Xenopus tropicalis: one gene and its partners. The protein of the gene in region 1 interacts with the protein of each later gene in a pairwise test. Links are inferred from orthologs where the notes say so. Each region holds a gene or a part of one and is shown on either strand. Other genes may lie near its edges.

The links. The genes of interacting proteins can lie anywhere in the genome.
Region 2: the proteins of iqub (region 1) and trim54 interact in binary tests that used the Homo sapiens proteins (3 or more experiments, as listed by UniProt). The link is inferred for Xenopus tropicalis from reciprocal best matches to the Homo sapiens genes IQUB and TRIM54.
Region 3: the proteins of iqub (region 1) and tmcc2 interact in a two-hybrid assay, tested with the Homo sapiens proteins (2 studies listed by BioGRID and IntAct). The two-hybrid records come from large-scale screens. The link is inferred for Xenopus tropicalis from reciprocal best matches to the Homo sapiens genes IQUB and TMCC2.

Annotation. Positions count from the first base shown.
Region 1 is NC_030679.2:70,231,725-70,236,355, reverse strand, and holds part of iqub (IQ and ubiquitin-like domain-containing protein), read left to right. Parts: intron 1-1,362; coding exon 1,363-1,538; intron 1,539-2,069; coding exon 2,070-2,240; intron 2,241-2,714; coding exon 2,715-2,891; intron 2,892-3,268; coding exon 3,269-3,517; intron 3,518-4,631. UniProt on the Homo sapiens protein: Adapter protein that anchors the radial spoke 1 (RS1) complex to the A microtubule of outer doublet microtubules in axonemes. The triple radial spokes (RS1, RS2 and RS3) are required to modulate beating of the sperm flagellum.
Region 2 is NC_030681.2:162,398,224-162,403,630, reverse strand, and holds the start of trim54 (tripartite motif-containing protein 54), read left to right. Parts: upstream 1-2,280; 5' UTR 2,281-2,441; intron 2,442-3,876; 5' UTR 3,877-3,890; coding exon 3,891-4,058; intron 4,059-5,407. UniProt on the Homo sapiens protein: May bind and stabilize microtubules during myotubes formation.
Region 3 is NC_030678.2:72,929,334-72,934,514, reverse strand, and holds the start of tmcc2 (transmembrane and coiled-coil domains protein 2), read right to left. Parts: upstream 3,128-5,181; 5' UTR 3,064-3,127; intron 3,058-3,063; exon of another isoform or gene 2,404-3,057; coding exon of another isoform or gene 2,332-2,403; coding exon 2,221-2,331; intron 1-2,220.

The sequences.
Region 1 (4,631 bases):
GATATCGGAAATATAGCAGCAGGTCAGTCTCAGGTTGCCCCTTAAGCTGGCCATACACGTGGCGATCTCACGATGTTTCGTACGACCGTCGGTCGCACGAAACATCGTCAGATCCGCCACACACCATTCAGGGCTGAATCGGCAGGTAAGGAGGTAGAAACAATAGGATTTCTACCTCCTTCTGCCGATTCAGCTCTGAAGGGAGAATTTTGGTCAGGCGCCTTCTATGGCGCCCGATCAAAATTTTCTAACCTGGCCGATCGGCGAGTCGACCGATATCAGCAGCTTCCTGCGATATCGGTCGGCTCGCTGACATGCCATACACGCACCGATTATCGTACGAAACGAGGTTTCGTACGATAATATCGGTGCGTGTATGGCCACCTTTAGATTTTCCTTTTACAATCAGCAACAGCATATTTGACAGAATGTCTGTTCAACTTGGGAATTACCTGGGCCTCTCAAATAAGGTGTAAGTAAGCAAAATGGCATGTTTTACTTTATCGTGAGGTTTGTTACTGGATCAGTATTTTTTCTTGCAACCAAGTTTAACTATAGGACAGTTTAGTTGTTTGAAAATAAGGTATTGACTCAAGTTAATGGAAAAAAAGTTAAAAAAAAGTTACTTAATGTAATAATTTTCAAATAAATGTTGGCCAGATTACGCAAGCATTTTTTTGCAATATGAAATTATTCAACGGTAACCAAGTGCAGTTGAATATGGTAATGTGGATTATTCTTCTCAAGTGTTGTTACCTGGTCAATACAAATAAAAATATATTTTACTCACAGATGTATCATGTAACAAAAGAACAGTGTAAAATCTATATTTAAAGTGCTTAAATACTTTTCAACCTGGAATTAAAAAAGCCAGGGTTTTGCTATAACTTTCTTGGTGTCTGTAAAGGTGTAAGTGATTGAAATCACTAGGTATGTTATTTAGACTCTTGGCTTGGAGTGCCTTCCCTAAATATGTCTGTAAATGTATTTGTAGCACTATATGTATTGATAAACTTTTTGCTGAGGCTTCTCTGAGCCAGCAAAATTGTTCCAGGGACATTAGATTATGGTGGGAAGCTAGGTTCCAATTACTAAAGAATTGTAAATAGAAATAGAAATAGATTCCGAAATTTTCCCCCAAGCCCGTGGAAAAAAGTGTCTGAGTGCCATGCCGACATCTCCTTACATACTAGTTTCTTAAAGCTTGCCATGCCAACATATCCTTACATACTTGTTTCTTAAAGCTTGGCACTTGGCGTTCTGCGCATCTAACATTTTGGCACCCCCCCGAAATAGGGGTGGGGGGTCCTTTAACACCCATTTTAAAGTATAATTTGACAATGAGTATATTAATTTCTTTAGCCTGGAGGAAGGAAGAGCTGGAGCGAATTAACCAAACATACACCGGTGCTGAAAGGAAAGCAGCTCTCTGTGAACTTCTAGAGCAGGAAACACAATTAATAGCCTCTATAGGCAGGCATAAGCTAAATGCCAATGAAGAAAACCAGCAACAGTCCATACAGGTCCTCTTGAATAAGGTAAGTAAACACAATTTATACCCAAGGTATTGATAATATGCACTGTTCCACAACCAGGTTTATACAGGCCACATGGACATATAGAAAAATACCATTTGTTCTCTTTTAGGCATATGGTGCACAGTGTGGAGACTCTGAAAATGTTTTTTCTTTCAGAAAACAAAAACGGCTGTGCATTCATTTACTGTCACTTTATACAGAAAATTAAAGTGACACAAATGTATCAGCCTTTAATAAGCGGGGAAACAAGATTTGTTAAAGTGCATATATTTACCTTGAATGGTTCTATAGTTTTGACCTGATCTTAGCCCACAAAACCTTAACCCACACCTGACCATAACCAGCAAAATGTTGCCCTGTTTCTCAGTCCAGGCACCCACGTAAAGCACATAACTTCCCTTAGATTTGACTTACTATTTATGTGTCACTGTAGGAATATCTTTGTAAATTAATGTGTCATTCTTGATATTCTGTAGAGCCTAGAAACAGTACCCTGATGATTATTATTAATAATAGTTTTTTTTATTTAAGTGCTCTGAACCAAAAAGGTGGAAAGCATTTGATGGAAAGACGACTGAAATGGATACTCAGTACACAATCCGTGCAAGACAGCTTCGTGATATCTATACCAGCATAAACACACCATACTTTAATGCTGATGAAAGACTGGATGCACTTTTAACTCTTAAACTTACTGTGAAGGTAACTCATTTTTGGTTGCATACATTTCTAATGACAAGGTTTATAGACAGCTACAATGTTTTTGTTGATTGTATTACTTTGAGGGAAATAATGATACTTTTGTGCAGAAATATAAAACGTATAGCATTTTTGCTGGGCACAATGACACAGACAATATTATGGGATAGCCAACAGATAAACATGTGTGATGTTATAGTGCAATTTGCTATATGTACTAAAGGCTAAATTGCTAAATCTTATCCAACAGATCCACTTGGGGCAATCTATTTGGTCATAACTGTATAAACTGCTATATTGCTTAACTCATCTGGTTTTTATATCTGGTTTTTATGCATGACTCCCACTCCCACCGTATCCTATCATTTGATAATTCAGTGTTCTTATTCAATATATATATATATATATATATATATATATATATATATATATATATATATATATATGTATTTTTGTGGCTGTTGTGCTTTGTTTTAGGAGCATGACTGTAAATTAACCCAAGAGATTGTTGAGCTTATTGACAGAGAAGCTGATCTTTTAATGCGTGGGGTGCAGAACTCCAACTTGGAGGGACTGAGGAAAAGGATATCCACTCTCTTCTTGCAATACATAAAAATACCAACTTTTAATCCTGAGGTTGCCAGACTGCTCAAGGTATTGTAAATATGTACATTGTTCCAAAGATTTCCAATGACAACAGATATTTATCTTTTCTTAATTCTGTTATAAATATCTACTTTTATATTTTATACTGTAAAGGCAATTGCAAGACATAATTCAAAATAATTGCAGTCCTGCATTTAATAATGGGAGGTCAATAGACATATTTCTATCTATACAGTAGTAAACATAATAAATTATGCTAAGTGGCTTGTCAGATGCAGATATTGGTATAATGTTTTATTATTTTTATTCTGTCAGAAAAGCTACAATTATATATATACATCTGATGCAAAACATGTTGTCATAACAGAATACAGAAAAATATAGAAGGCAGTTTAACTAAAAATACACTTGCATTTTTTTGAAAGGTTCCTGAAGATTCTACAGCTCTGCGTAAAAACATATACTTCTGCCCCAGCTGCAAAAGCTATTTGCCATCCACTGAGTTTTCCCTTTCCTCCATCGCACGTACTGTGGGACGGTGTCGCAAATGTTCCAAATTAGACAATGAAGCCAGAGACAGAGAAGAACTTTCAAAATATAAGATTTTATTGAAACAACTAAAAAGATCTGAGGCAGAATATGGTGATGGAAGTAGAATTGCATTTTTGCTTCAGGTAAGCCATGTTAATAAATGCCATTCTTATAATCCTGTCTCAGCAGAACTTTTTATATCATTTTTCTATATGATTTTAAACTTAGAATTGATAACCACAAACAAAGTCACCCACATTTACTGATGTTCAGTCAGCTTTTGAAAACATGTACTGTAGTTCTTGCTCAGATTTCCCAGAAGCAAAACCTGAGATTTGAGATTATTTTTAAAAACCAGGAAGGTTGGAGATTTATAAAACTGTCACTTTTTTTGACTGAAAAAAAGTACGCCACATTTAAGATGGCAAGAACAATTAGGGCCGATTCTCTAAAGTGTGTTAAAACGTGTGCTATTTATAGCATGCGGTAAAATTTTTATCACGTCTAAATTTTCGAGACTTAACGCAGGATTCACTAAAAGCATACTTGCGTTAATTTACGCGCGATACTGCATGCGTTATTTTAGTTGCGAAGACTATTTTCGTGCGGTATTTGGTGGTACATGCGCTAATCAACGCACCGCGTATAAATAGTCGCCACGTATAAATAGTTGCCGCGTATAAATAGTCGCCACATATAAATAGTAGCCGCATATAAATAGTAGCCACATATAAATAAATAGTATCCGCATATAAATAGTAGCCGCATATAAATAGTAGCATATAAATAGTAGCCGCATATAAATAGTCGTGCGAATAAATGCACGCCATGTTAGCCATATATGCCAATACTTGCGGAAAATTACTGTACTGAAAATGCCCATTTCCCTGCAAACTGGAGGCTGCATCACTCTAGGGCCAACACATACTTGAATAAATCCCACTGCAAAGTCCATATTGTGTTGCCAAAAGCTCATTAACTGTACTTTTTCTATAATTACCGCCTGCCTCAAGTAAGTGTTAATTTTAGCACAGACTAATGCGATATTTAGCGCGTCTAAGTGTTTGTGAATCATGTGTTAGTGTTATTTCGGCGCGCAAATTAACGCATGCGTTGCACGCAAATTAACGCATGCGATGTGCGACTTAACGCGCGCCGTAATACTGTAGTGAATTGCGCGTTAATTTTCTCATCTATTTTAACCCAAGAAAGCGTGAGATAAAAAATAACGCACTTTAGTGAATCAGCCCTATTGAG
Region 2 (5,407 bases), on another chromosome or scaffold:
CTTTATCTGCCCCCCCCCCCCCACAGCCAGCACTGAGTAGAGCCCAGTCCCTGTGGTTCTGCTATATCGGCCCCCCCCCCCCCCCCACAGCCAGCGCTGAGTAGAGCCCAGTCCCTGTGGTTCTGCTATATCGCCCCCCCCCCCCCCCCCCCCACAGCCAGCGCTGAGTAGAGCCCAGTCCCTGTGGTTCTGGCTATATCTGCCCCCCCCCCCCACAGTCAGCGCTGAGTAGGGCCCAGTCCCTGTGGTTCTGCTATATCTGCCCCCCCCCCCCCCCCACAGCCAGCGTTGAGTAGAGCCCAGTCCCTGACTGGAGCAGAGATGTGCCAGTCATGCCATGTGTCTCTGCCAGGGGGGTGCCCGGGCACAGTAACTACCCCCCCTCTCTCTCATCAGCACCTTTTGCCATTTCTCACCAGCACAGAGAGGTGCCAGTACGGAGCTGGTGCCCATGTCACATTGTATGATTGTATGTTAGTGATTGGGGGGGACGGGAGAAGCCCCCCCCTCCCCTGACTCACCAATAAAATCACTCTCCCACACCCCATGGATATTCTGTTTTGTTTGTGGGGGAGACGGAGATGGGGGGACAGGAGATATATATACATAGTGCTGGCCAATATGTGCCCCCCCTGGGGGGGAACCCAACTTAATGTTTTGGTGTTTCTCATTGGCTGGGCTCTCACAGTAGCACCTCCCCTTTAATATATAACCTGCCCTATGGGAACAGTACTATTTCAGAAAATATACAGTATGCACCGTAACAAAGTGAGTGTGGCCCCCCAACAGCGATATTGAGATGTAACAGCCCCTAGGCACCCCTACAGCCCTGGGTGAGTGTGTGGGTTCTGTATGGGGGTATTTCTGCCCAATCACTGCCCATACAGACTCCCCCCAGTTCCATGTGACTGCTGCAAATCAGCCCATAGATTTCCCATGATATTCAGGGGGGGTGCGACCCCCCGCATAAATGCCTTTGTAGCTTTCCCACTGTGTTTGGGCTCATTGTGGGAATATCCAACCCCTGGAACTGCAACTCTCTGCCTGACACTTAGACATGATCCTGAAGGGTTGGTATTGGGGTGAATTCATCCGACCCTCAACTTTAACAAGGACCCCGGTCCCTGAACCAGCCCCACAGCATGATGGGACCCCCACCCAATGTGACAGTCGGCAGTGGGGGTTTCTGGGAAAGCGCTTTTTGTTATGAGCAAATAACGCCATTTGTGTCTCATCAGCCCAAAGCACTTTGTTCCCAGATGCCTGCAGCTAAATGAGCTTTTGCCCCAACAAGCGACGGTATGTGGGGCGCGAGGGCAGAAAGGGCTCCTTTCCCACCCCCCGGCCATCCAGATGGTCTTTGTGCAAATGGCGCTGTAGCACCAGGTACAGATACACCGTCTGCAGCAAGAAGTTCCTGGGGGGTGAGGTGGGATCTTTGGCTTGTCTGGAACCAGTCTCACAATTCACCCCCAATATTCCGCTCTTGGATGTTCCTTGACAGGCCAGACCTGGGTTTTACAGCAACTGTTCCTGTGGCCTCCCATTTCCTGATTACGTTCCTTACAGTTGGAACTGACAGGTTAACCCTCTGGGATCTGAGCTGTTTGTAGCCTCCCCCTAAACCCTGTACTGAACAATCTTTGCTTTCAGATCTATTGAGAGTTGCTGTGAGGATCCCCTGCTGTCACTCAGGAGAGTCAAATAGAAGCACAACTTGCAATTGGTCACATTAAATACCTTTTGGACACACCTGCCTGTGAAGGTCAAGGCGTAACGAGCTAATCCAGCCAATTAGGTGCTGCCAGTAATCAGTACTGAGCAGTTACATTCAGCACAGTTACAAGGGGACCCACATTGTTGCACAGACAGTTTTCCCATTGGGTTTAATCCCATACAACTAATGCGGCTTCACTAAATCTCTTTGTTCAGAAACCCCCCCAGGCCCCCCCCACTTATCTTTAGTGTTTTATTGTGCTGCCTGAGAGGGGTTCCTATATATATTATAGGGGGTGGGGGGGTGCATGTGTGTATGTATATATATATATATATATGTATGTGGGGGGGGGGGTGCGTGCCTTTGTTACTGAGTCATTGTGTGAGTGTGACTCACTATCAGCTGCTCAGTGAGTGTGTGACAGCTGCACCCCAGACTTGCCCCCCCCCCCCCCCGCTCCTTATCCCTGAGCTAAATATACAGCAGGAATGCCCCCCTGCCCCCCTGCCCCCCTTCCACTCATGTCGCATTAACTCTGCCTGATAGTGGGGGGGCACAGCCTGGTGCGAGGGGCTCTGTTAGCTGCTCAGCCACTGGCACAGAAGGGTTAATCATTGGGGGGGGGCAGGAGGAAGTGACCGGAGCCTCAACACTTAGTCTCCCAGTTTGTGTATCATTTGGGGAGAGAGTTGTGAGAGCGCTCAGGGCAGGACACCCAGTACCAGTAAGTGGGGGGCACAGAACTTGGGGGGCAGCTGGGTTGGGGGGTCTGGGTGGTTGTTACAGGGTTTTTGGGTGGGAACAGTAATTTTCAGGGGTTTAGATGGGGGGGTTGCTTGGTATATTGTGGGGGGGGGGTCACAGGACTGGGGATGTTGTGTGAATTGAGGGGGGGGGCAGGGTTTTAATGTTTTTTATTTAAAACTATACAAGAGAAGATAAACTCAACTGAGACCGACAGGCCGGGCAACTTACCCTCTACTGCCCACACTCCCCAAGCGCCTGGCACAGTGGCATCAGCCTGAGGGCCCCTTGGCTGGGGAAGCTGCTAAGTGTTGGGGGTTAAGGTTGTGGGGCTGGGGGCAGTGCCCGTGGTTTGGAGAGGCAGGGGGTGAGGTTGCGGGACTGGGGGCAGTGCCCGTGGTTTGGAGAGGCAGGGGGTGAGGTTGTGGGACTGGGGGCAGTGCCCGTGGTTTGGAGAGGCAGGGGGTGAGGTTGCGGGACTGGGGGCAGTGCCCGTGGTTTGGAGAGGCAGGGGGTGAGGTTGTGGGACTGGGGGCAGTGCCCGCGGGTTAGAGAGGCAGGGGGTGAGGTTGCGGGACTGGGGGCAGTGCCCGTGGGTTGGAGAGGCAGGGGGTGAGGTTGTGGGACTGGGGGCAGTGCCCGCAGGTTAGAGAGGCAGGGGGTGAGGTTGTGGGACTGGAAGTAGTGCCCGCGGGTTAGAACGGCAGGGGGTGAGATTGTGGGACTGGGGGCAGTGCCCGCCGGTTAGAGAGGCAGGGGGTGAGGTTGCGGGACTGGGGGCAGTGCCCGCGGGTTAGAGAGGCAGGGGGTGAGGTTGCGGGATTGGGGGCAGTGCCCGCGGGTTGGAGAGGCAGGGGGTGAGGTTGTGGGACTGGGGGCAGTGCCCGCGGGTTAGAGAGGCAGGGGGTGAGGTTGCGGGACTGGGGGCAGTGCCCGCGGGTTAGAGAGGCAGGGGGTGAGGTTGCGGGACTGGGGGCAGTGCCCGCGGGTTAGAGAGGCAGGGGGTGAGGTTGCGGGATTGGGGGCAGTGCCCGCGGGTTGGAGAGGCAGGGGGTGAGGTTGTGGGACTGGGGGCAGTGCCCGCGGGTTAGAGAGGCAGGGGGTGAGGTTGCGGGACTGGGGGCAGTGCCCGCGGGTTAGAGAGGTAGGGGGTGAGGTTGCGGGATTGGGGGCAGTGCCCGCGGGTTGGAGAGGCAGGGGGTGAGGTTGTGGGACTGGGGGCAGTGCCCGCAGGTTAGAAAGGCAGGGGGTGAGGTTGCGGGACTGGGGGTGAGCATGATCAGGGTGGGGTGCTGGGGCCTCTGTGAGTGGGTGGGAGGGCACGTGGTACTGTTGGTGGGAGGATTTAGGGATGAGGGGCCCTTGGGGGGGCACATATATACCCCCAGTACATCTTGCTGCCTGTTTCTTCCTAGCATCCTGTGAGGGGATGAATTTTGCGGTGGGTTTCAAGCCTTTGGCCGGAGACACCCAGACCATGGACAACCTGGAGAAGCAGCTCATCTGCCCCATCTGCCTGGAGATGTTCACCAAACCCGTGGTGATCCTGCCCTGCCAGCACAACCTGTGCCGAAAGTGTGCCAATGATATCTTCCAGGTACCCCCTGGGGCTCTCTTGGTCTAACCCCCTGTGTGTGGCACTAACGCTATGGGACAGGGGCCATTCTTACTGTTGGGGGGGTATCTCAGGGAGGTGTCTCAGGAGGTACCGGGATCTCATTAATGACTGCCCCCCAGCAACCACAATTGAAAAAAACATAACCTCTTTATTTTATCTCAGAAAACTCTGACTGGTCGCCTCCTCTGATTGGCCAGTGAATACAGTTGGCCTCCATTGGCTGTTGGAATTCACAGACCCCCTCACTGTGGGAAATAGGCCCCGTGATACAATGCCGGATCTATTTATAAATAACCTTGTGCCAACTGCAACCAAAGTAGAATTATATAAATATAAACAGTCAGTTCCTGGCACCGGGGCATCCGTCATGCTTTGCCCTTCCCTGTAACTGAATTCCCTATAACTAGAACCTGCCTTTCCTTCATGGCACCTCTCCCCCACCTGTATTAGAGACAAGGAACAAGATGTAGGAGACTCCATAGGAGGAGGAACAACATAGAGAAGAGTCAGTAGGGGGAGGAACAAGATGTAGGAGACTCCATAGGAGGAGGAACAACATAGAGAAGAGTCAGTAGGGGGAGGAACAAGATGTAGGAGACTCCATAGGAGGAGGAACAACATAGAGAAGAGTCAGTAGGGGAGGAACAAGATGTAGGAGACTCCATAGGAGGAGGAACAACATAGAGAAGAGTCAGTAGGGGGAGGAACAAGATGTAGGAGACTCCATAGGAGGAGGAACAACATAGAGAAGAGTCAGTAGGGGGAGGAACAAGATGTAGGAGACTCCATAGGAGGAGGAACAACATAGAGAAGAGTCAGTAGGAGGAGGAACAAGATGTAGGAGACTCCATAGGAGGAGGAACAACATAGAGAAGAGTCAGTAGGGGGAGGAACAAGATGTAGGAGACTCCATAGGAGGAGGAACAACATAGAGAAGAGTCAGTAGGAGGAGGAACAAGATGTAGGAGACTCAGTAGGAGGAGGAACAACATAGAGAATAGTCAGTAGGGGGAGGAACAAGATGTAGGAGACTCAGTAGGAGGAAGAGCAACATAGAGAAGAGTCAGTAGGGGGAGGAACAAGATGTAGGAGACTCCGTAAGGAGGAGGAACAACATGGAGAAGAGTCAGTAGGGGGAGGAACAAGATGTAGGAGACTCCGTAAGGAGGAGGAACAACATGGAGAAGAGTCAGTAGGGGGAGGAACAAGATGTAGGAGACTCCGTAAGGAGGAGGAACAACATGGAAAGAGTCAGTAGGGGGAGGAACAAGATGTAGGAGACTCAGTAGGAGGAGGAACAACATAGAGAATAGTCAGTAGGGGGAGGA
Region 3 (5,181 bases), on another chromosome or scaffold:
TATAATTTTGCAATGTTTTAATGATCTTTCTCAGGGAAAAAACTAAGGAACATCGCACACAAATATGATGCAACAGGGGTGATCTGGAGGAGTTGAGCTTGATGGACTATTGCTATTTTTCCAACCCAAATTATCTACATAACTATGTCTTGTATTTGCCAGGCACAATGCAGCACTGGTGTGGGAGTGCCTTCCCATCTGGCTCTGTGCATATGCAAGTCTGGTGCTGCAGTAGGGAACAGTCAAATCTTATATGAAATAGTTGGTAACAACTGGTTACCCTGTGGTACTGCATGTTCACAATACGTGCATTTAAGAAAAGGGGAGGCAGAAATGTACTGACACCTGGTGATATGCCAGCCATTTTTAATCACTCAGTATGAAAAACATGCAATTACTTGAATCTACATTAGACAAAATCTACAGTGAATTGTGTGCATTGTGTCTATACAAAATATATATTATTTTGTGTGAGTGTGATTTGTTTTGTTTACATAGTTAGAACGCTAACATTCCCTAGCAAGTTGCGTGCACTTTTTGGAAACTAGGCTGCACAGCTGCAAAGACAGAGATGATGATGAGCATTAATTGTGCTATTTCAGTATATAAACAGTATTTATTGTTTAACATGAGTGCTGAACATTATATACTGATACTGGGGTACATTTTTTTCTTAAATGGACAGTAAGAAGTAATGAAAAAAAATGAAAAAAAAACATAGATTGTTCATGAAAAAAACAATAGACGAAAAGCAGGTTTAGCACAAGCCCTGAATTTATGTTGAACAAGGGTTCAACATAAATTCAGGGCTTGTGCTAAACCTGCTTTTCGTCTATTGTTTTTTTCATGAACAATCTATGTTTTTTTTTCATTACTTCTTGAATTAAGCAGGATAAACAATTAAACTGAAGCTACTTCATGTTTGGAAATTGTAGAATATAATGGTATTCTGGCCATTTAAGAAATTTTAGCTCAGTATTTGCATATTACAAACTAATAACATTAGTGGTCCTGTTAGCAGGGCCAATTATAATGCCTGTTTCAGAGGCAGGATAGGCGTTTTAATCCATGCTCTACTGAAAATAAAATAAGATTATTTATTTAACTCAGTGTTAGGCCTCGACTGAATAAAATAAAATTACTGGTGGCCACAAACTAAAAACTTAAGAGTATATAAAAGGCAATTAACTATAGCTGGTAAACAATAATTCAGTAGGAAAAATTAAACAAAATAACCATCCTTGTTTCTGTCCCTTTCTCTTCTCCCTCACCTTCTCTATGCATACTCCCATTTACATATTACGGCAATTAGCACAGAGGGGCAGGACTGTGAACTGGCGTCACAGACTATGTGATGAATTCCCACATTCTAGCAGGCTTGTCCAAAAAACTTTTTACAGCCGCTTAACTGAATATTATATAGATGGCAAACAAGTGAAAAAAAATCTCTAAACTTGATAATGTGGAGATCATATAATATACATTTGTTTAAATGTCTTTCTATCTTAACACAGTTTTCCTTGCAATTATATGTACTGCAACCAGAACAGAAGAAAATGGCATGGAAGAGAAAGAACAGATACCTCACAGAGAACGTAAATGCTGGCTGCACTATTATAGCTGTGGCAGAATGTTCAGTATCATAATTTCCAAGTGACAGAAAGGGGAAATATAAAATATCAGTACCTATGCACACTTTACTAGTGTGAATCAGGAAGTGGAATTTACACTTTAAATACACTGTAGGTATATTCTGGAATGAAATGCTTAAAAAACTGCACTTTGTCTAAACTTGTGGTTCCTGCAGACAGGATGTGCTGAAGACAACCCTGTCAGTCTGAAAGGAATTCTTCACTAACAAACCACAAATTATATGAAAATGTTCTAATGCTAACTCACCTAAATATATATTTTGGACTAAAACTCTCAGCACCCCCTAAAATCCTTGGGAGCAAAGAATCATACAAATTGCAAGTCAACAACACCCGAAGGGCTTCAGAATGGACACAAATGTAGTATGTGAAAAATGTCTAGTGCTAGAAGCAATACCATATAGAACAAAGCCAAAGTGTTATAAATATGGATACATCTCACATGTATGTGTAGATGCGGAATAGATGTAGAGAGTAATTAAAATATTAGGACACTATCCATATACATGCCTACAGCATAAAAATACCATCATGACAATCATTAAGAATTGCAGCATATCATATTTACCTTAAGATCTGGTGGCTTGTTGCGGTTGACGGCTGGAGGACCTTGGCTGACAGCTGTGCCAGCAGATCCCAGATCCCCTTGGGCAGGGCTGTCTGTGCCTCGCACCTCCATGGGAGTGAGTGGTTGGGCATCCTGTGCACCCAGTTCCTCAGGATGTAAGTCGTCTGACTTACTACGCTTCATATTTGAAGGGTGAGGATGGTGGGGTCAAAACAAGGGATAAAGAAGCAGGACAAAGGGATGTGGGTAGATAAGGGTGGGATGGTGGGAAGGATGAGAACAGGTAAAGGGCAAGGGAAGAGGGAGAAGGGTATAAGGTCAAATTAAATTAGCTATCACAAAAATGGCATCATTCACAGATAACCTGCTATACACACACACATGAGCTACACACAGGTATATGACTGTTCCTCACAGTGTTCATTTAACAGGACATCACACACTGTCATCCTGCACATTTCCACTCTCACAGGACACACAGAGCAGATACAAATCCTACATGATGAGCCTAATACCTTGATATACACACGCTACACATCCTACACCCAAACCCAGCACAAAGCGGACATACACCCAAACTCTCACATACGCTTACACACACCCGGGGAGAATCCATGACAAGAGCTAATACCTATGCTTTACAATCAACAAACCAGCGCACAATAATGCACCCTTACTCGGGGCGCGTTCCCACACTCATACTAAGCGCGCGCACGCTACAAGCTCGGCCAGGCAAGGCTGGGAGAGTAAGGTTAGTGAAGGGCCCCTCCTTTAATCCATCCTTCACGACAACCCCCTCCCCAGTCTCCCTGCTCCCCGAGGCCCCGGCATCTACGTCCGTACTTCTCCCTGCAGAGACTGGGGTGACCAAGACTCAACCAACCCGTATAACTGAGGGACGCCGCTTGTAACAAATTGCAAGAGCGGATTTTGACAGTTTGAGCCAATCAGACATCGGGGGACGGACCATTAGCCTTTTCAAGGTGGGTTGCAGCGCGGGGAGCTGTCACAGAAGGTGGTGCTGCAGGGGTTGCAATGTGCTGTGCTGAGAAGTGACCCGCAGACCAGCCCGGCTTTGTAACAATAATGCAATCTAGTGCTTCTGAGTAGGGCAGGACCACGCCTTGCTGCTAGGAGCGTGCAATTGCTAGCTATTCATTTGATAACTTTGTAGCAGCTTGGAGAATGAAGAGACACGTGCGCTGTACAGGATATTCAAGTGCTGTTTGTTACATGAAGGCTTTGACCGTCTATTTATTTTAGATGTTCGACATGAGGGCGCAAACTGTTCTTAAAGTCTTGCAGCCCATTTTGCTTTATATTTTCCCTTCCATTCATCTGTAAAGACATCCATTCATTCATCCATCAATAATAAATATAACAAAAGTAGCCGTCAGCTATTAAAAGTTGGTGTGTGAATTGGCAAGGGCAATAATGTTATACTAGGTCTAGAAACCCATAGCAACCATCATATATTTGCCTTCAAAAAGCAGACCAAAATGTTTACTGGTGCATATTCTGCATCAGATATAACCCACAGTATTTATTCCATAGTTCAGCAGCCATGTTCCTTTATATCTTTCTTACATTTATTTTACCCTAGAAAGCACTGTAAGAAGACATTTTACTGCTTCTTGACCCAACATAGTTATTGTGGTTTGCAAGGTAACATAAACTGCTATCAAGGTAACATAAAGCTCTCGCAAGGTATATTTCTCCTGTTTTAATTTCCTGTTTAACTGTAGCTCTGCATATTACAATTTACAACTCTTTCTTTTGGTATCTTTCAGTTATGTAGGCCCTTGCAGCAACAGAAATGTAGCTGGATATTCTAATTTTCTAAATAATTAAAACAATTATTTATAATTAATGAACTTTTCTGCACTTCAGTGTTCAACAATGCATGGTGATGTTGTGGGACCTGCTTGGTCCCAAATAGGTATATTTGTATTCTGCATTTATTACAAAATTACTCTGCAAATGAACCGTTTTTCTCCTAATTAAATAAATTGCATATGGTCAGTTATTTTTGCATGCATTATAGCATAGACCTAAAGCTGACAAAACATTTTGTATGTTTTAGAGAATATAACCACTAAATTGTAACCTTGGTGTATGCTTTGCATGGATTCATTTGGTCAAATTCTGATTCCAAAATAAGTAAGCGTTGTCAATAAATGAATGATGCATAAGTCAGTAGTGCTTGCTCTGATCCATTGCTCTGCATGCACTTTACACTTGGATTCTAATTACTCAAAACTCTTCTTTTTTTGTGTACATGTCCTACTTAAAATTAATCCCGCTGATGTTGGCCAGTGCTGACTCAGAACCAGGGGATCACACAGGGTTTTGGTAAGGGATTTCCATTATTAATTCAACAAAATTAAAATTTTCTCTGTACACATAAATCTCAGCAGGGGAGAATCAGCCAACCAAGAAAATGCAACCATGCCGGGGTTTATCAGCATATATAAAAAAATCTTGACATGGAAATGGTGGCTTAGCAATTTTAAAAATCATTGAATGCACCTGCAGATAATTGATAGCTGATAAAACATGGGACCAATAAATGTGCACTGATAATTTTCTTGTATATTTGCAGAAATTTGTTTCAGATCAGTAGCACTTTTATATACCTAATTCCTGCAACCCCCTTGTATGCTCTGCCACTGTCAGCCTGTACTGTGATTTCATTGGTGCATCAAAGAGTCAGGCAGAAGCTGATTTTCAATGTTTCTGTCTATGGCTTATCCATATACAGGTATGGGATCCCTTATCCAGGAACCCGTTATCCAGAAAGTTCCAAATTACAGAAAGGCCATCTCCATTTTCTATTTCTTTGTAATAATAAAATAGTACTTGATCCCAACTAACATATAATTAATCCTTATTGGAGGCAAAACAATCCTACGGGGTTTATTTTTGGGGTGATTTTTTTTTATATACAACCACACAACAGAC